2 linked regions of the Astyanax mexicanus genome follow. The protein of the gene in region 2 purifies or fractionates together with the protein of the main gene of each other region. This does not show direct contact. Links are inferred from orthologs where the notes say so. Each region holds a gene or a part of one and is shown on either strand. Other genes may lie near its edges.

What was found.
Region 1: the proteins of tctn2 (region 2) and tectonic-3 purify together in Homo sapiens (affinity purification with mass spectrometry; 3 studies listed by BioGRID and IntAct, with this or other methods). This does not show direct contact. The link is inferred for Astyanax mexicanus from reciprocal best matches to the Homo sapiens genes TCTN2 and TCTN3.

The regions. Positions count from the first base shown.
Region 1 is NC_064422.1:3,665,825-3,677,199, reverse strand, and holds the start of tectonic-3, read right to left. Parts: upstream 5,348-11,375; 5' UTR 5,171-5,347; intron 1,255-5,170; 5' UTR 1,254-1,254; coding exon 968-1,253; intron 600-967; coding exon 485-599; intron 247-484; coding exon 152-246; intron 1-151. Other genes in the region: WD repeat-containing protein 5B, read left to right, coding at 6,776-6,787, 9,139-9,350, 10,478-10,562.
Region 2 is NC_064429.1:30,826,346-30,837,234, reverse strand, and holds the start of tctn2 (tectonic-2), read left to right. Parts: upstream 1-6,463; 5' UTR 6,464-6,520; coding exon 6,521-6,602; intron 6,603-10,889. Other genes in the region: ccl19a.1 (C-C motif chemokine 19a.1), read left to right, coding at 1,357-1,432, 3,917-4,040, 4,453-4,567, 5,147-5,185.

The sequences.
Region 1 (11,375 bases), on a different chromosome or scaffold from region 2:
TCTGAGGGAGTTTTTCCTGCTACTTTTGTTCACTGAGGGTCCTGTTCTGCTACCAGATTTCTGTAAAATTGATAATGATAATTTCGATGATACACATTCAACAGTGTGATGATCTGTGAAAAAGAATTAGCAGTGTTAGAAGGAACCTCACCCTTTTGAACGCAGAACATAGTGTCATTGACCGTCACCAGCTGGGGATCAACATTGGCTCTAAACATCAACCAGCTCTCCACACAAACTCCAGACCTGAAATCAAGACAGACACTTCACTATTCCCCAAGATTTCACTCTTACACACTCACTTACTCGAGCATCTAATATTGAGGCTACTAATCCATTCCAGTGTTCAGCTCAATTCGTGTCTGAATCAACACTGATGGTGTGGCTGAACTGGGAAATCACCCAAACATGCTGGACACTGGCTAGAGCACCATCACACTCTTTATTGCTCTAGGAATTCAATATTAGCCTGTCTCTGGTTTACCTTGTCTCCTGCACACATCCTCTGAACACAGAGCTCAGGTTGGCAACTCCACAGTCCATCACGTCACAGCAGCAGCCGATGTCGCAAAAATCCAGCGTAATGTCACACACACACCCTGCAACCAGAGGAACATCCTGAGATATTGGGCATTTTACTAGATTCCCAGATGTTTAGTATGTAAACAATCTAAGCTAAGCAGACACAGCTATTTAGATAACATTATTTTATTTTGAAAAACTGTAAACCAATCATATTTGGTAACAAGAACCTGTTGTAGCAACAAACTATTCGTAAAGTACTGTTCCTTATATCTGCAACATTTGTAAAATTTAGATTTAACAACATTTGGATATACATTTGCATATAAAATATGTCCACATATTGCTTTCTAGCATGAAACAAATCGCTTATCTATAGAAGATAATTTGTTGATGTATAGATTTTAATTAATTTCATTATAGATCTTGAAAGTTAGAGAAGTACCATTAATTGGATTCATGATTGTGGGGGCGATGGTGGGTACAGCACGCTCCTCAAACTCTTGTGGAAACGCGCTCGGTGTGATGGAGTCCAGGGGATCTGGAGCACTGACAGTTACAGAGTCTGTTGTAGGTGGAGTTTCTGCTGCAGCTGTTGGATCATCTACGTACTCATCCCAGCCCACTGTTGGCTGTTCTGTGTAGATTCCAGTGTTTTGTGAATCTGTATGCAATGGTAAAATTGCAACATAAGCCAAGACCAGCCGCAGAAACCAGTGGCAAGACAGCATTCTGAAGAAAAAAAAAATGTCATTAGAATGTCATGTCAGCATTGGAAAGTGGGTTTAAAAAAGGAACAAGAAGGCTTCTACACCAGGTTATAGTGAATGTACTTATGTGGTGAAATGATACAACATGAACCTAGTGAATGCTGGATTTACTAGGTTTATGTTGGATGGCTATTAATAATGTTACCAGTTATTATTGAGAAAAACATCTAGTTTAGAAAATTTAAATATTTAATGGCCGTGCCTCCAATTTCTAAATGGGCTGTATTTATACAGAAAAATAAAGACCTTAAAGACACTAATATACAATGCAAATGCTTTGTTTTAATATATTGACTAAATATGAAATATGAATCTGGAATAAAAATTAAATATTATTTACAGTATGTGTGCATACATGTTTTGACAGGATATATTTAATTTATTATTAATTCACAACCAATTACAAAAAAGATTTTAAATCAGCCTTTTTGCCCTAGAAAATGAAAAAATAATTCAGGTGAGCTCTACCTTCCCAGTGTATGAAATAAACCCAATTCTCAGATTATTATGGTTTTAAAATCTCTTGGACTATTTTTACATAACCAGGCTAAAGTGACTTAAATCCTTGCTTAATTTTTCAAATCAGATTTGAGTCACTTTCATATGTGGTTCTAAATCATATATGTATCCCATCCACGGACATGTGACATGAATATGAACAGTCAAATCAGAATTCATGAGTCTTTTTGTTTTTACGCTGCGCTACGTGCTTCTCTCTCATACCCACAAATCTCTTGGTGCAGCTGTGCAGCAAACGCAAACCGCCTGTCCTTTTTTCTCCTCCTCGACCTGAGCATGAACTTCAGACCAGCTGTTTACTCTCCACTCCAGCAAAAGATGCTCCACATATGAGCTGCTAACAAACTCATCCATTACCCTTTATAAAGCTACGAGTCGTATGATGTTTTTTGTTGTTGGTAAAGAAGACAACGTTTCTATATTATTTGAGGTGTTTCAGAGACAGATTCGTTCACACTACACACAGATGCAGGTCACTTACATTTGTGAATGTGAACTGTCAAGATAGCCAAATCCAACTGAGCATAAATCGCATTTGAGCAATGTGGCCTGTAATGTGAACGTAGCCTTAGTGTGCGTTGTGGCGTGGAGATATAAAACACTGGTCTCTTCACTCCTAAGAGCAAACTTAAAAGTTGAATTTGATTTACAACAATTTCTGCTACCTAACTAGTAAGACAGATATCCCCCATTTTAGAAAAAATATAAAATAAGTAAATATAACTTCATAAACAGTACCAGTTAAAACTTTGGACTTACATGTAGTGTTTTTTTCATCAAGTTCTGCATTGTAGATGAATACTAAGGTCAGCCAAACTATGAATAAAAACATATGGAATAATTTAGTAAACAAAAAAGTGTTAAACAAACCAGAATATGTAGTTTATATTTTCTAAGTAGCTCCTCTTGCTTAGATGAGAGCTTTGTACATATCTGCATTTTCTCAGTCAGCTTTATAAGGTCGAGTCACCTGGAATGGCAGTTAACAGAATTTCAGTGAACAGCTGTGCTGAACTTATCAAGAGTTAATTACTTGAATTTCTTGCCTCTTAATGTGTTTGAGAGCTTTAGTTGTGTTGTGAGATTGAGTTGGTATACAGTGAATAGCCCTATCTGAGTAATGTTCTAATTCATTTTATGACAAGATTAACTAAACTAAGTAAAGAATAGGTCAGTCAATCTGTAAAATTTCAAGAACTTTGAAAGTAAAGAGCAGTCACCGCAAAAAAGACCATCAAAGACTTTACGATGAAACTGGCTCTCATCAGGACCACCCCAGGAAAGGAAGAGCAGGAGTTCTCTCTGTTGCACAGGTTTAAGTTCATCAGAGTTACCAGCCTCAGAAATGGCATGTTAACAGCACCACAGATAAGAGGCACCTAAATGCATCACCAAGTATTTTGGTTTGTTTAACACTTTTAAGTTACTACATGATTCCTTATATGTTCCTTCATATTCTGAATGACTTCAGTATTAATTTACTATGTAGGAAAAAATGTAAAAAAAAATTGTGTCTGCTACTGTATATTCAAAACAGTTGGACTGTTCATGACCCAATTAATCTAAAATGTATATCAGACATTATCTAAACAATTTATTACAATGCATTAACATGCTGTTTTTACCTTGTATTTGACAATGGTGCTTGAAAAAGCTTGTTTGTATCATATAACATTTAATGTAACATTTAATGTAGCCTTAATTGTCTATTAGAAGTGCCCCTCCCTCTGTAAGTATTAACTCTGATTATAGAGTAGACTGTATCCTCTGCACACAGTCCGCTATATAATTAAACTAGAACTCTTACGCCACCAGGTTTGACCCCAACTTCCGTTGCAATTTATATACACTGCTTGCAGCCTATTAGACATTTGCGATGCATGACCCATTGTGTTTAAAAGGGAAGCAGCAGTATTTTTTGCGTTGTGTTAAAGCAGCTTCACACTGCAGATATACACACTGGAACACAGAATCGAATTGCTATCTTTACTTTCTTGCTCCCAAGACAGACAGCTCTGACCACTTAGAGGAGAAAATGTGCTCACATAGTTTATTGGAGTGTATTTTGGTGCGTTTGTGTGAAACCAAACCAAAAAGAGGGAGAAACTCTCCAAGTAAACAAACTCATCAACTAATCCAGACCATAGAAACCAACTACCGGTATGAAAATGCTCTTTAATACTAATTCAGAAATCCTTACAACCAAGATGATATATTTACAATAAAGTAAAAAAGGTTCCTCTATCCAATTTATCAAGCATTCTTTATTTCAGCACACCACATTGGCTTTATCTCCCCTCAAACATACAAGTATATAATAGTATTTTAATTAAAACCACTAATATAAATATAATTGCATTTTACATTTCTTATAGGCCTATTCATTCTTTTATTTAAATTTAAATCCACTATAAAAAACGTACGTCTTAAGAAGAACACGTGCGATTAATCACAGTTAATCACAGAATATTGTTGCGATTGATCATACTAGTGACTGGTAACATGTTTAGCTTGCTTAACTAATACAACTAGCTAACCCAGGCCCCTATTAAAGAAGCATATAAATCTAACAAAGCTAACTAGCAACATTTACAAAGACTCTATATTTTGTTTTTCGTTATTAGTAACTAACTAACGCTTCCTGATATTTCCTACACAGAGCCCAGACAGGAGTCGGCGGGTTCTGAAGCTCTGCTAAAGCGAGAAACACCAACAAATCTTACAGAGGAGAATACACACTTCAAAATGTCTTCCGTGTCTGCCAGACCACCAGGGGGCGCTCCCGAGTGAGTCCAAAATAAATGTGTTTAAATAGAGCGATTGAACAAAATCACAGTTTATGAATAATAATAATAATAATTATAATAATTTGTATACTTAAAAGTTTTCTTATTTCCTCAACACGGAACAATTTCAAATGTTTCAGCAGCACAGGCATATTTTTAAGCTGTTAAATTCGTTATAAACTCTTTAAATATGCTCTGTTATCAGCTCACCAACCAGTCAGTACACAGTAGCAGGAATGCTAACGAATCTGTTGTCAAAAATCGTTTACTATAGAAAGACAGAAATAGGCAAGTACGGTTTCTTACATATTTTAGCAAAACAATTTATTCTTATTTCTAAAATTATAGAAACACCCTGGAAAAGTAGTTGGGCGCTGTTTTTAATTTAAGTTTTTAGCTGTTTAGCTGTATTCACCCCCATTCATTGAAGAGTCACTCGCGGGCTCCCCCTAGCGGTCTGCAGTCATTTTCTCATAGAACGGGGAGACAGGAAGTCGGTAGTCTTGCTATAAACAGGCTCCGATAGCTAAGCTAACACAGGTATCTGAGAGGTTAAAAACAGCAGTGACTAACCTGAAAACACGGACAGTAAACCCCGCAGCCTGAAGGTGAGCGGCTGCTGCCGTTAACCAGCTACGGGCATTTCATATTCGGTAGAGAATAAACCAAAACCAGAGCTAAAAACACACACAGCTCAATAAACCCGCCAGACAACTCCAACAACAACACGCAGCAGCAGCGGCCGCCGTTGTCAAGGAAATGGTCACCGTTCCAATGGGCCAATCAGAGGACTCCGACTACTCCTGGCGCTATAAACGTAATCTATCTATTAACATCTAGAAACAATTAATATTAACAATATAATGTTTTTTATTTTTTTATATATTTTGGATCCCTGGACAGGCTGGCCTCTTTCTTTCTGAAGCTCTTGCATTTCCAGTCATTTTAAAACATATTACGTACATTTCATATTTTATAAATATAGTAAAATAGTAAATATATAAAAATAGTTTCATTGTCTATTTCATCTTCATGTGAATTTTTGCATCTTAATAATTTTAGGCCAATTTCAAAATTGACATGCCTAACTAAAATCCTAGAGTCTTTTTTGATATTTCTCAGTGTAAACTTGGTTCCTATTCCTATCAGAATATAAAGCTGGTTTCAATTACTGCTGCTACTGTGATCCCCGATGTTCTTTTTATATTTTAATAAAATGCTGGATCCTTTTTCTACTCCTGTGTATTGGCTTGGCAACATTGTAAATGAAGGCTACTTTTAATGTACTCAAAGTTTAAATAAAGATTGATTGATTGATTTTATTAAACAAAAATAGGGAGTGTTTTAATACATTTGTAAATATAAGTTGGTTCACTCATTAACTCCTTCACTATAAAGTATTTGCTCTATAGTAAACGTATTAAGAAATGAACAAAAACACATCTTAATTTATATAAAATAGGTCGAGATATATATAAAAATAATTTAATGTATTTTAAAATTATAATTTTAACTAAAATGTTTTTGTTAATTAATTTAATTTATAAAATATACAAGGCAATGAAACAATTCACAAATATTAACTATAACCTATCTATTTGACTCATGCTTATTATTTTTTATTTATAAAATATGCAAAGTTATAGAAACAGAAAAAAGTTTCATATTGCATATATAAGGCACATTAATATTAATAGATCTATTTCAGTTTGTCTTATGATTTAGAGATTTCATTTAATTATTTTGATTGAATTTAGTTTTAGCTTAAAATATTGAAGGAGTAAAAACATAAAATGACCACCTTTATTACCCATAATCTATTAGTTTTTGAAATTATTTTTTGTTGTTATTTTAAGTTTTTTTAATTTCACTGATGAAATATAGGTGCTACTACAAATATGAATTCAAAGCATTTAAAGACTTCAAACACAAAAGTAAAAAGCCAGAGGCTCTGTCACAGAAGGCTTTATGCTCCCTTCGTAGTGCACTATGTATGCCATTAACTGCTGGATAAATAGGTGTTCACTTCGTAGTGAACGAGGGAGGGATTTGACATGGACCCAAAGCCTCGCGGGGTCGTGGTTACTGAGCAACGGCGGCTGTTGGGCTGAGGGAAAGCGTTTCAGCTGAGAAAACAGAAAAACAGTTAAAAGATAAAAACAGAAATTTCACCTGGATATGACTTTAGAGGTAAGAATATTTTATTAAACGCGAATAAAACAGTGAATAAATGTAATAATGAGTCGAGTAGAAATAAGATTAGCTCCAAAACATAGTTAACATAAGTTACCTGTGTGGAAACCGTTGGGCTTAAAATCTCATCAAACACAGAGTTTTTACTATATAAATATAAACGATGTTTTTATAGTTCAGGTGGGCTGACCAATAAGAATTAAATTTCATTCATTTTTTAAAATTTTAGATTTATTAAGGGAATCTTTGGCATATTCTGCCGCATGGTTGCCATTTCTGTCCCCAGGAAAGTACATGTATAAATGTGCAAACAAAATAACTTTAAAATTTTATTATTTTATTATTCATCATAGTGTCTTGTACATTGACCTAAAAGTAAGATATGTAATTAAAAACATTAATAAAACTACTTAGAACACTGGAAAAGTACAATTTGTTACCTGTCCCCACACTCTAACTATAAACTTTACCATGAAATATAATTATTATAATCCTTCATTGTTTTCCAAATCTATCCATCTATGCTTTAAATTTTTTCCCATAAAAAATACATAATATTTAAGTTACACATTTTAGTTGTGTCCCTGGGTTTCTCTCACTCCTGTTACCAACATCTGGAACATTCTACAAGTCACATCTACAACATGAAATAAAATGAGCTGGTACTTCTGAAGACCATGGGAAGACCAAAATTAAGTTCCTAGTTGTTTTTCTGTATATTTGATCTTATTGTAACTATGACTATTGTAACTGCTGTAGTTATAGCTACAAATGTTTTATTAAAAATTGATTTCATTGTATGTTTTATGTTCTTGGGCTAATGGAAACCTAATTTAAGGATTTCACTCCTTAGATTCTAAAACCACAAAATAATTATTTCTTAAAATATAGTGTTACCAAAAAAATAAATTTTTACTGAAAACACTCATTAGTTCTTATTAGGATGAATGCAGGTACAGATACAGTAAAAGAAATAAAGAAGAAAGTATTTGAGATCTTGTGAGCTAGTTGTTTAGATGAACTATGAATGATTTACCATCATTAGCACTGAATTACCAAAATAATAAAATTGTATATATAATATAATTGTAAATATTACTAGACTTCCTTTGTAGGTGTCTTTTTTCATTTTCACAGGTGCCTACATTTTAATACACTCAAGCTGTTTTCAGTCTTAAAATTACTTATAGTCTTAAAATACAGTTTGTCAAATTATAAAAGGTGAAAAGTGTTTGATAAATCCCTGGAAGCTAAATTTGAGTTTTATTTCTAATTTGGCTAATTTAGCTTGGCCTCTGTGTAAACATACAAAGTATTCCTTATGAATATCTTTTACAAGTGTAATAAATCTCCTCTGTATTTCACCACTGTCACTCTCCTCTCGATGTAGAATGGGCAGAGCTAACAGTTGGTGTGGTGGAAATACCTGTGACGATTAATAAAGACAAATATTAAGTTCTGAGTCGTGTCAGATGAGTAACAAGTTTTTATTAATGCAAATTATTGAGAGTACAATCAGTCATGAAATCATCACGCTCTGAAAGTGCTCTGAGAGTAACAGTTTCTCAGAGCCGTTATTTATCCCCGCTCCGCTGTATCCGGAACCGTAAACCATATATGGACATAGGGTTTCCGCTTGCAACGGCATCCTTCAAATCTCCCTTCTATCCCAAGACAGAAACTCCTTTCTGTTCCCAGACAGAGTTGTTTTCTGTCTAAAATGTCAGCATAGCCTCTTCACATTCACATCCTGGTGTTTACCCAAAATGGTTATCAGACAAGGTTTCTCTGCTAGCTAGCACGTACACAAATGTCGGAATGACCTAAAGAGTAACTCTGCAAAACGAGCTAATATGAAGTGAATTACCACTGTAAATATTAAGTGTGATTAAGCACATCTAATAAAATAAACATGCATAAAATGAAATTTCCCACGTCATTGGTCACACTGACTTCAGCACAACTCTGACCAATCACATGACTAATATAGCTCCTCTCTCTCTTCAAGTCAAATTATCAAAGTTATTTCATTGTGTAAAAAGGCTAAAGAGGCTAAAAATCTGCACAGCTTTTCCGTCGTAAGGCTGTGTGCGATGCCTTGGTAATGTAAACATAAATGTAAACGAAAAATCAGTCACACATGTTCATTAGAATATTATGACAATGCCCAGACAGTATCAAGAGTGCATTACGGTGATTTGTGAGATGTGTTTTATTGTATTTCTGCTTTGTGTTTTCCATTTAAACTTTGCTGAATGCTTCACATAATTCACAAATGTAGTATTGTACAAAAAAATGTAAAACTGTGTTCTCACTTTAAGGGGTATGTAAAATGGTCTTCTGCTCAGTTGTCCAACAGCTTGCCAGTTGATTGTCCAGACTCGGAGAGTGATGATGACAGCGAACCTGCAAGCGATCCTAAACCAGAACCCAACGAAGCTCCTAACACACAGAGTGACGTCTCAGACCAGGACCCGACACCGTTCCCAGAGAAGAAAGAGGAGAATGGTGAACCCACTCAGCCCAAGACAGACGGAGATTTACACATACAATCAGTCATGTGAGTGTAAGCCTGAATTAGGCCTTACAATCAGTCATTTTCTCTCGCTGTTGGGTTGGTTGGGTTTATTTTTCTTCTCTGGTTTAACCTAGGAACTTTGCTCTGCTTTGCATGTACAGTGCTGTGCAAATGTTCCAGGCAGCTAAAACATAATTTAAAAGCATTTATCTCAGCAAAAGTTTTTGCTTGAACAGATACAGGTAAACATGAGGACCGTAAACAGTAACAAGACTTTCTCTATCTGAAGTTAGTAGGGTAGATGGCAGTAGGGGTTATAGCCGCGATGTTACTGGCTCTCGGAGATGGTGTGAGCTAGTCTGAAGAACAAATCTCGAAGAACAATCTCTTCTGAAAACTCCTAGCCTGTGCCTCAGTGAATGTGTTCAATTCCATTTGCAGCTCAATTGATTTAACATAACTAATCTCTTATTTATCAAACCAACTATTGATACGATGACAACTATTAATAATACTAGAAGAGATTTAAAGGTCTATAGGCAAGCCCTCTACTGCCCGCTGGTTAGCTTTATTTTCAGAGTGTCTTTGGTATCGCAGGTATGCATAAAATATATCTTGCGCAGCTTGAAACAAAAGGCATATACTAATTCTCTTAATTAATCCTGGTGTGTTTTGGGTATAACGTGTTACTTGCCATTCCCTTTAGAAACCAGGTGCACTCTGACTTTGGCGGACTGCCATTTTAACGGTGCAGGGAGTCTGCTTGTTCACTCTGTTGAAGGTGCATGAGAAGGTAACTTATGGGAACAGCAATGTTATTGTATTTTTGTTTACTGTTAATGTAAAGGTTGGGATTGTACACTGCTGCGTGTCTGTGTAACAATCAAGGGTGTACGGCACACACACACAGCACACCTGTGTTCTTAAAATAGCAATAAACGTCTGAATGCTGTCAGGGTTCAAATCAGTCAGTGGCACACCTGTGTTTTCCATTGACAAGATCGCAATACACCATAAATGTACCTGAACACACCTCATTTCCAGACCACCATGGCCATCAGCGTAGATATATTCACAAGAATCACGGCGTAAAGTGGAAGACTGTTGGTGGGATGGGATTAAAATGTATGCACTTCTCTGTAAATTTGCTTGTTCTCCATCTCTTCCAGAGAGTGTGACTGTGTAGCCATGACGTGTCAGTTCAGTACCGATGGGTCGCTGCTTGCTGTTGGGCTCTGCAATGGAACCATCAAAGTTTGTATCAGATTTTGCCTTTCTAGAACTCGTGTGAACAGTTGTTTAGGACCTCATCTTTACCTCCATCATTCTGGCCACTGCCATCTCCTAATTACACTATAGACAGAGGTAATGGCTGCCTGAAACACTGTGCTGGCATTGGTTATTTTAATGCTAGGCAGCTGATTTGAGGACACAATAGTTGTTAAAAGTTGCAGCATGAGTTTCTTTATTGGCGTTATATATATGAATGATGAATCCTTGTTGCAAAACTCTCCTATAAAGACTCTTTCTTAGTAGCCCTTTGAAACAGTAGAGTTTGCCAGTGAAATAGTATTTTATCCTATCGTGATACATTTTCTTCAGCAATATACTTTTTAAGCATATCAAGACATTCTCAGTGATCAAAGAACACTAACCCAGCTTTGGATGAATTGCAGTATATTGTGAATCAAAATAACTTTACTAGTATTGCAAAGTATTTAAATTGTGTTTTTAGGGATCTGACACTCATGATGCATACATAAAAATGTTGTGATATAATTTTTTTCTATATTGCCCAGCCCTATGGAACAGTCTAACAAGGCTTTATTGGTGGTGTTGTGCATGAACGTTATGTAATGTTATGTGATTTTTCAGTTCATCACTTTAAAACATTATAATTATTAAAACTACTACCAACAATTCCAGAAAGCACATCTGATTTAAAAAGTACGACATTTCACCATTTCATTAAACATATTAACTCATTTAGTATACATTTAGCAACATTTTAAAAAGATGGGACAAGATCATGTGTGCCATTGGGTAGCATCCACTCTTCTTTTAACA
Region 2 (10,889 bases):
CCAGCAAGAGCCCTATACCTTGCGAGTACCCTACAGTCAGCGAGAGCCTTATACAAAATGAGTGGCTTTCACCCAGTAAGTACCCTATACTCGGCAAGTGCCCTACACCCTGCGAGTGCCTTACACCTAATGAGTACCCTACACCCTGCGAGTGCCCTACACCCAACAGGTGTCTTACATCCGATGAGTACACTACATCCAGCAAGTACCCTAATCCCAGCGAATGTACTACACTCAGTGAGTGCCCAGCACCCAATAAGTGCCCTACACTCAGCAAGTGCTCTACACCCTGCTAGTACCCTATACCAAGAAAGTGCCTTACACCTAATGAGTACAATAAAACGAGCAAATACCCTAACCCCAGCGAGTGTCCTACACTCAACAAGTACTCTTCAACCAGTAAGTACCTTACACCGATCAAGTGCGCTACTCTCAGTGACTGCCCTACACCCTGTGAGTACCCTACACCCAATGAGTGCCTTACCCCAGATGAGTGTCCTACACTCAGCGAGTGCCCATCACCCAGCAAGCAGCCTACACCCAGTGAGTGCCCTACACTCAATACCTTAACTCCAGCAAGTGCCCTACACTCAGCAATTACCCTACACCCTGCGAGAACCCTACACTCAGCAAGTGCACTACACACAGAGAGTGCCCTATACACAGCAAGCAGCCTACATCCAGTGAGTGTCCAACACCCAATGAGTGCCCTACACCCAGCAAGTGCTCTACACCCAGTGCCAGGACATTTATGCTTGTAAATTCTTGTATCTGCAACACTTAAATCACAAAAGCAGGAATGTGTGGATGTGAACAGGTGGATGCTGCTGTCTGCATCTTCTAACATGAAACCACATTTCTGAGAAAGTGTTCATCTAGTGCATGTAAAAGCGCCCCCCTCTGTCAACTGGGCAATTTATTTTATTTGAGTGCACAGTAGAGGCATGTCTGATAGCCAGTGATCTCTCACCAAGAGGTGCGCTACCCAAAAGTTATATATAACATCTGAGAGCCTTTGTTGTGTATTTATGTTCAGTATTATGTGTATATTCACAAAACAGATGGTAGATGGATGGTAGAATATGAGCTGCCACCTATTGTTCTTAATACTTGTCCTTTACTCCAGTGTGGAAACCCCCTACATTGTGTCAAAACGAAACTCACTGTGCTATAAAGTGACAGAGGCGCAGAGGGACAGGGTACAGAGGCAGATAGGGAACTCTGACAGGATAAGCCCACACGAGGCTCATTCACACCCTCTGCAGCAGCAGCAGCAGCAGCAGCAGACGCAATCCAGACACACTTTATCACACACTCTCTTCCAGTCACAACATCCTCTTTTATTCTCCAGCAGCGATGGCTCCATCAGGGGTGCGCAGTCTGTGTGTGGCTCTCTGGATCACTGCTATAATCATCAGCAGCAATGTGGAAGGTAAGGTCTAATGTGAATAATGCATATATTTGATATATAGATAATATATTTATTTTAATACAAAATGTAATGTAATGTAATGTTATTTCATATACTCCATTCTATTCTATTCTCTTAGGTAGTACATGCTGTTAGTTTGTATTTTATATGTTTCAAATGTTTTTTTTAGATTTATATTATCGATTTTTTTACAAGCCATTTCACACTGTCTATTTCTATGTGGAATTAGATTTCTGTAAAATAATAGATTGAACTAATATAAATATAAATGTTTGAACTAAATGTAAAATAGATATATTTAGGTAGTAGTATTTAAATAGGTTTAAAAAACTAAGCAGCAATATTTTTTGTAACTGTACAGAAATTATTGTTAAAAAATAAATTAGTGTATAAAATATGCAAGAAATGTTCACTGAAAACTTGTGTTAATTAATCATAAAACATCCACTTGTTATGCCTAATTATTATATATAAGTTAATTTAAATAGTGGATTTTTGTAACACTTTGAACACTTTGAAGTAATTCAAGTGAATATGAGAGATTTGCATTTAGTCTTCTTGTTTTATTTAATTGAACTAAAATATAGATTTGAAAGACTAAAACATTTGGAAAAAAAAAGGAGATGAAGGAAGTGGAAAAAGAAAATGAAGCTTTTAACATGATAACATAATGCCTGGTTTTATAGCCTATTATTTTATTTAATATTTTATCTACAAGTTTACTTAAATTAGCCTTGAGGAATGACACTGATGGTAAGTGTCAGTGACTGAAGGACAAACCCATTATGCAAATGTATTGTCCCAGAAACCTATGTATTTATTATATTATATTATATTATATTGTGGATTACATGCTCTAATTTTGCATTATAAATAGGTATGTAGGTATATATATTCTCAATATATGATTAATGTTGTGTACTAAAGCAGATGACGTTGTACTGTATTGAATGGGAGTCTACTTTCACATCCCGCTGCAGTAATTCCTGAGCCATAGGTTAGGCAATATTGTGGTTATATATCCTGAAACACAAGCTCTGTGTAATTTCAGTGCAGTGAAATCCAGTTCTGATTTTAACAGTCGCTGCTGCTGCTGCTGCTTTTTCTCCATTAGTCAGCACTGCAGATGTTAAGATTCATAGTACTGCAAAATCACTGACCACACACACACTTTCACACACACACACACACACACAGAGGGACCCACACACACGCCTACGCATGTGTACACACAAACAGTGCCAAGACACACTTTCGTTTTCAATGGCCTACAGTGATTTAGAAACCAGCAGGCAGTATCTAATTTAGATAAATTGACCTCAGCTTAGCATACATTCAAAATAACTCTGACCACACACCACTCATACTCTACTCACTGCTTATCTCTCTCTATTCAATTCTCTTTCTTTTACTTTCATTTCTTCCTGTTTTTTCTCCATTTAGCACTCTCTATATCCTTACCTATCCTTACATTTCTGCAGTGTAACCCGAGCCATATCTATTGAAAAATCCTGTAATATTACTCTACCGCCCGAGTACACATACAGTACACCCTTTAAGGTTAAGTGACAGCTTGTCAACAAATGCACGTGCACAGGTCTGGAAGACCATTCCTAACACCTAAATTGGAATGTTTTGTTTCAATGCAAAAACTATGAGAAAGTATCTTGCAAAAATGAAACTCAATCCCAAACTCATGCTTTAGCTGCTTATTATTATGAAATATTACCTCAAAATAATGATATAACATTTGAAGATCTTGAGTTGTTATCTTAAAACAATGGTTTACCTTTAGCATCTTAAAATAATACAATATTATCTGAAAATTATGATATGGTATCTTAAAATAATACGTTTCTCATCTTATTAATCTCCAAAAATGACTGAAAATATCATTGCAAAACAATGAGTATGAGTAATGACTTCATATCTCAGGATATTGCGGTAGTATCTCAAAAAGTGACTTATTATCTCAGAATATTGGGTAGTATCTGAAAAATTACTTAGTATCTCATAATATTGCAGTAGTTTCTCAAAAAATTACTCATCTCAGAATGTTGTGGAGATATCTCAATAAATGACTTATCTTAGAATATTGAGGAAGTATCTTAAAATAATGACTTACTATCTCAGAATAATAAGGCAGTATCTCAAGCTAATACTTTCTCAAAATATTTAAAAAGGACATTTATATGTTAAGTGACAAAAATAAGTTCTATATATATAGCTGTAACATGAAGGACTGCTTACTTTGATTTGTATTGACAGTAGTGGAGTAATAGTGAATTACACTGTGTAACTGTAGGGGGAGCTTTTGAGCAAAAACACACCACTTACACTAATGTAATCTAATGTTGCTTTAATGTATTTGCTCCTGTATCTTTTTTTCTTAGAATATGCGCTACTAGGCAAGTCTAACTTTTTTATTATAATAATAATAATTATTATTATTAACACTATTTTTATTATTATTCTCTCTATTAGTGTCCCTCGGAGATCAGGCAATGGACTGCTGCCTGTCAGTCAGCCATCAGGTTATTCCATCCAACATTGTGGTGCGCCATCGTGACCAGGTCAAAGGCGAAGGCTGCCCCATCAGTGCTGTCATGTGAGTATACCATGCAAAACTATAAGAGGTATAGGAAAATATTGATATTGTATCATATCGCAATATTTTTAGCAAAACATTTTTTAGTTTACATATAAAGATTGGTGTCAGAAGTGGTTAATTTATAGAGAGCAATGTTGTACTCTGGCATTTTATTATATTGAATCGTAACCCCTGTATAATGATACATATCATCTAGCCAGGTTCTTGCAAATACACAGCTCTACAGGATATACTGGATAATTTATTATCTTCAGAAGTATTGATCAAGAGCAAAGTTCTAATGTCCCTCAGAAATGGGAAATGAATCAAATGCACCAAATGCCACATGTAACACATCTACAATCTACACACCAGTGTTAAAGATTTTTATTCGATGCATTCTAAATGGTGTTATTTTAATCTTTTTCAGATTTGTGACCAAGAAGGGAAAATATCTGTGTGCCCCTAGTGGAGAGCAATGGGTCAACAACCTGAAGACTGAAGTGGACAGAATTCTGCACAAGTGCCAGAAGAACAACTTCAAGGTATATACTTTAGCATCTATAACCAGAAATAGAACAGAAAGTAAAGTGTCCCATATATCTTTAGTATAGTGTCCCATGACTTTTGCCATGTTCTATAGTAGCTAAAGAACACTGCAATGACATGTGGGATATGTACATGTGGTTTCTACCACATGATTTGTATCTGTATTGTATAATGTGGATCAGGTAATGGATGTTTAATGCTTTTTAATTTTTTTCTCTGCTGTTAAACATGGTGGCGGGTGGTTTTTGACCCTTAAAACACCACAAATGTCCAAAGGTAGCAATGCCAGTTGGAAAAAGAAAGCAGATGTGTCAGAAAATAGAGCTCTGGGTGTGAACAAGTCATATGCCGCTGATATTATCTAAGCCAAATCTTGGTTTATGTTTACAGAAGATTATCTGCCCCATTGTTTCCATTTTCCTTGTTATGACTCTGACTCAACACCATTCACCCAGAAACCACTGTACTCTAAAACCGCAGACCACAAGTCATAACGTCTTACTACTGAATACTTTCTAACAGCACGCGTCACTCAGCTCGCTCACTCTCCACTCCACTGTTTCTCTGTGTTACAGGGGAGACGCTGCCATGGCATGAAACTCAAGTACGACTGAGAAGAACCTAAAGATGATGAGTACCAAATAAAAGCAGGAGGTCAACCCGATCACGGCAGCTAAACAGCTAAATTATGACCGCATGTTGTTTTCAAAAATGACTTGCTCTTTTCAGTGTCTGTTCTTCACAGCAACAAACCACTTTATGTTGTAATATGAATAAGCTTTTTTTTTATCCAATTTGATATATTTTATTGTTTGTTTAAAAAAAAAACCAAAGACGTTTTTCATTTTTTTATTTTTTCATTTTTACTGTTCTGTACCTACTGTAGATTAAGCAATAAATGATTAAAGTGTGAACAATGCGTAGTGTCTTCTTTCTTGTCTGTTTAAATACTACATGTTTGTACTGCTATATTTTTACCTTCTTACCTTAGTGGATCATTTACTTTACAGATATAAATTCCGATATAAAAAAAACAAAAATATATTTTCACCAGATTTTTTACCAGATGTGATCAAACTTGATATTAATAATACACTCAACCAAACAGCAAAAAAATAAAATAAAAATACATAAACACCACATAAATTATTGTTGATGTTGAGTTTAAAGTTCACAATTTAAAATCTAATTTAATTTTAAACTGAATCAGGTTAAATGTGTGAAACATATGCATAATAATTACTTAGGTAGAAGTATAGACACTAGTGTTTAAAATAATTGTTAAAGTATTAACTCAAGCTTTTTACTCAAGTAAAAGTGTAAACATTTTAAGCATGTCTGGTATGTTTTATTACTTCAAAGGAACACATTTAGCTATTGATAAAAAAAAGCTTTATGGGTTTATTGGCTCTTTAAAGTCTTTGATTCCTTTATTCGCAACTGTGAAAAACTAAAAAAAATATGAATTTCTTTGATATTACCAAATTGAAAATCTCTGGAATATAATCAAGATGAAGATGGATGATCACAATCATCAACCCAAGCTGAACTTCTTAAATTTTTGCACCAGGAGTAAAGGCATAAAGTTATCCAAAAGCAGTGTGTAAGACTGGTGGAGGAGAACATGCCAACATGCAGGAATCTGTGATTAAAAACCAGGGTTATTCCACCAAATATTGATTTCTTAACTCTTTAACTTTGTGAAATGTGGAATTTGGGAGAAATGTTGTCTGTAGTTTATAAAATAAAACAATAATGTTAATTTTACTCAGATATATACCTATAAATAGCAAAATCAGCTATTAACTAATGAATTATGGATTCTTCCTGGAGATGTGTCTCTGTGGCTCCAGGCTGCAGGAGGCGATATACTGTGGAGATTGTGTCTGTGAGCGCTGCCAGTGATTCACAGAAGAAAAACACCAAATACCTCTAATGAAATATCAACAATGCTCTCAGTTACCTGGTTAAATGCTCTACCTGTACTCGTCCTCGCGCTGTTTTCTACAGAAGAGGCCGCGTGCAGTGCCGGTAAGCTGGATATATTAATACTGAATGAGGCACAAGATCTGTCTGTGCGCGTGTTGTTAACCTAGCATGCTAACGTTAGCATATTAGCACGAGCCCAACGCACCCGCGTTGCCAGGGAGACCTTAGTCTGGTCAGCCCAGTGTAAACAGAGCAATACATGTTAACAAGGTAGCTAAGCTAACTAAGCTAGCTATTCTGTTTGATTGAGGCATGTTTTTGAACTGACTCAATGCTGTAACCTACCGAGAGTCAGTTTATATCAGTGTAGGTCAGGGGTGTCCAAACTTTTTTTGTTGGGGGCCAGAAGGAGAAATATATTTGAAGTCACGGGCCACAGACTCTGTAATAAAACAAATAATGAAATATACCACTTTAAATAATACATTTTACTGATTACTTTCATTTACACACCATTTTACTTGACTTACTATATTTATCTTTGACAGTGTTGTGTAAACTAAGATTTTTCAAATTGATGTTTAATTTCATGATGTCTCTTAATATTAAACTCCTTAATTACGGCAACTTTTAGACTCTTTGGCCCGTTTTTCTGCGCTAGAAATGTGCACCCTCTCCGCTTTTAGACTCTTTGGCCCGTTTTTCTGCGCTAGAAATGTGCACCCTCTCCGCTTTTAGACTCTTTGGCACGATTTTCTGCGCTAGAAATGCGCACTCTCTCCGCTTTTAGACTCTTTGGCACGATTTTCTGCGCTAGAAATGCGCACTCTCTTCCCTTTTAGACTCTTTGCCCCGTTTTTCTGCGCTAGAAATGCGCACTCTCTCCGCTTTTAGACTCTTTGGCCCGATTTTCATTCTATTTCTAAAATACCTCACGGGCCGCTCTAAAAAAGGAAACGGGCCGCAAATGGCCCGCAGGCCATACTTTGGACACCCCTGGTTTAGTAGTTCTAACTTAATTTATAGAAGCATATATATATAAAGCATTACATAAAAAGCTTTCATGTTTAATAAGCAACGTTACTGAAAATCATAATTGTAATTATAAAAGAAAGTATAGAAAAATAGTCAAGTAAATCTACAACTGTCAAAATATAATGAATAAAATCTTAAAATTAGGCTCTTTTCTGAACCTCATTTTGAAATCAATTCAAATCCTGAATACAAATCAACCAGTTCATGGCCTCCAAAGCTGTCATTTCCTTATGGTTGTCTAATTTTTAACATCTATTTTTAGACATGCAGAATTAAGGTTAATTCCTGTTACTGATCTGGAATTATTAAGTGGAGTAGAGAGAGAACAGGCAGCTTTTCCAAGTGTCCTGTATGATATTTCAAAGCCCTCAAATTTTCAGAATGTAAATAAGTTATTTTACTGCAGAGAAAAGGGGATTTGTATCACCTACACCTGTAGCCTGTATACAACCAATCAACTTTCCTTCTTGCTCCGCCCCTAAACCCATATATTATCAAGTGCCCCTCCCAAACAACCCCTGCATTTTTTTAATTTGAGGTGAGCGTGGAATCAGCTAAAATCAGGTAAAGAGGCTTTGAATGCAATTTAAAATCCGTGTTTTTATGAATATAAATAAAACAGTTTATGTGCCCAAGACCTTTAGTTTCATTACAGTTGTATTTGCATATTACTCACAACATGCAGACGTCCAACCATCTGCGTCTTATAGCTATCAGAGACACACTACTATTTAGCTCTCCCTTCTGCCCTGCCCCTAAACCCATACATCACCGGTGCCCCTTCCAAACTATATTGATAAATACAAATCAAACAGTTAATGTCCTTCAAATCTTTAGTTTCATTACAGTTGTCTAGGTTCTATTTTTGTTTTCAAACATGCAAAATGTAGGGGTTGATTCCTTTTATTAATCTAAAATTAAATGGGGTAGAGGGTGGACATGCAACTTCAACTTCAAGTGTCCTCCAAGAGTTATTGCAGAAAAACAGGGTATTATATTATCTACACTTGTAGCCTGTATACGGGCCTAGACTCTTAATGTGACTTTTGTGTAGAAGCAAAGATTTATAAATGTAATACAAACACTGTATATTAATACATTTTTAAGATTGACACTAAATGAACACATTATTACAAATATAGAGGAATTTTAACCTGCACTTTAAAGTACTTTTACTACTAGTAATGGGAATACCGTTTCTTTTAGAGAGATGTCATTTAGAGAGACGGTTCTTTCAGTTCCCAACTAGCTCCTCAAAGTTGTTGTTGGTTTAATTATTTTTTACCAAATTAGGTGTTTGACGAATTATTAATGTAAAAACATACATTTATATAATGTGACTTGTTAGCGTTATTAGTTTCCAGGTGTGAATGGGGTGCATGGCTTTTTAAGTTTGGTGCATCGGGTACAATAGTCTCATATTGTCCACTGGATATTTAACATGGCACCTCATGGTAAAGATCTCTCTGAGGATTTGATGAAAAAGATTGTTTCTCTCCACAACTGTGGCCTAGGCTGTACGAAGACTGCTGTTGTTTTCAGAATACAGTTAATCTATACTACTATAAATGCTGTACACTGACAACAGTTTACTTTTTGTTATGTCCTCTGGAATGATATTTGCTCCATCCAATACTTTTGGGATGATGATTTGGAGTGATGATCATCCAACATCTTCCCTATACCATCCTTAACTTTTGCAAAATGTTTGCAGACACCTGCTCATCCTGTTTCTTCTGCTTTCATTAGTATTAATAGCTTCACTACTCCACAGTCACACTTTGGATAGTGCAGTTTCACTGCTCTACAGGCCAAGGCTGGGGGGTTTCATCACGCTTAAGGTCACAGTGTCAGGAAGAACTTCCTCAATGTTCGAACAAGAAAAAGTGAGAGAAACCAAGATTCAATAGAGGAACCATCACCTGCCTCCAGTAGTAGTAGCCATTCAAGTTTGCAAAAGGTTAAAAATAGGTCATAGGAATTATATAGGAATGATCTCCTCATCAATGTTATATTGAAATTTAGTGTATTAATTGTTAGTTTGACCATTTGTGCACCAGATATTACATTATTTAATTTATTTTGTTTAAAAGTCTGATGATACTTTAAAGCTCAAGCGATGAAACATAACAGACCAGTAGTTCAGCTCAATCTACACGTATTTGATGGACGTCCATCACTAGTCTAGTTCTACTTCTCCACAGCCCAAAACTGAAGGTCACAGTGTCCGGAAAAACTTCCTCAATTCTTCTATAAGAAACACTAAGAGGAACCAATATTCAATAAAGGAACAATCACCTGGACATGATAGTAACTATTTAAAGTTTGCAAGAAAGACTAAAAATAGGTTGTGGGATAATACAAAAGATTTTCCATGAGATTCACTACAAACTGGGTATATTGTGGGAAAATGGGTGATACAGCTCTGGAAAAAAATAAGAGACCTCTTAAAAATTATGAGTTTCTTTAATTTTACCAAATTGATGACCTCTGGAATATAATCAAGAAGAAGATGTATAATCATAAGCCATCAAACCAAACTGAACTGCTTGAATTCTTGCACCAGGAATAAAGGCATAAAGTTATCCAAAAGCAGTGTGTAAGACTGGTGGAGGAGAACATGGACAAGGTATTAGGACTTATTTTATATTACCACTTGGCATGTTTTATAATGGCCCACATTATTTTGACCATATTTGATCTTTTGTTGGGTTATCTCAATACCTTGGTTCTTCAAACCCCCCACAGTGACGCACAACGTGAGTTTTAATTGGTCATAATGTTTGCAGTTTGCAGTAAAACCCCCGCACCTTCCAGGCTTCTTGGTGTGTCCTGTAAACATGGGTTTAGTTGGGTATTACCATGCTGGGTTTTTTCTTCACTTTAGGAGTGTTCTTTGGGCTCTGAGGTTCTTTCTGTTATTCGCTCTCTACCTTTCTCTCTCTTTCTTACTTTCTATATTTTCTTGTTGCTTATTTTTTTCAGCCCATGAGCAATGGGTCATGGGCTGCATGATGTTATTCAAGTTAAATACGGTTACATACATTCTCAAAAGTCGAACATTACAGTGCAGAAGTAAATATGTAATTATACAGCTTTGAGGAAAAATAAGAGACCACTTAAAATTATGAAATTCTTTGATTTAACCAAATTGAAAATCTCTGGAATATAATCAAGAGGAAGATGGATGAACTGAACTGCTTGATTTTTTTGCACCAGAAATGGCATAAAGCTATCCAAAAGCAGTGTGTAAGACTGGTGGAGGAGAACATGCCAAGATGCCTGAAAACTGTGATTAAAAAACAGGTTTATTCCACAAAATATTTATTTCTGAACCATTAAAACTTTATGAAT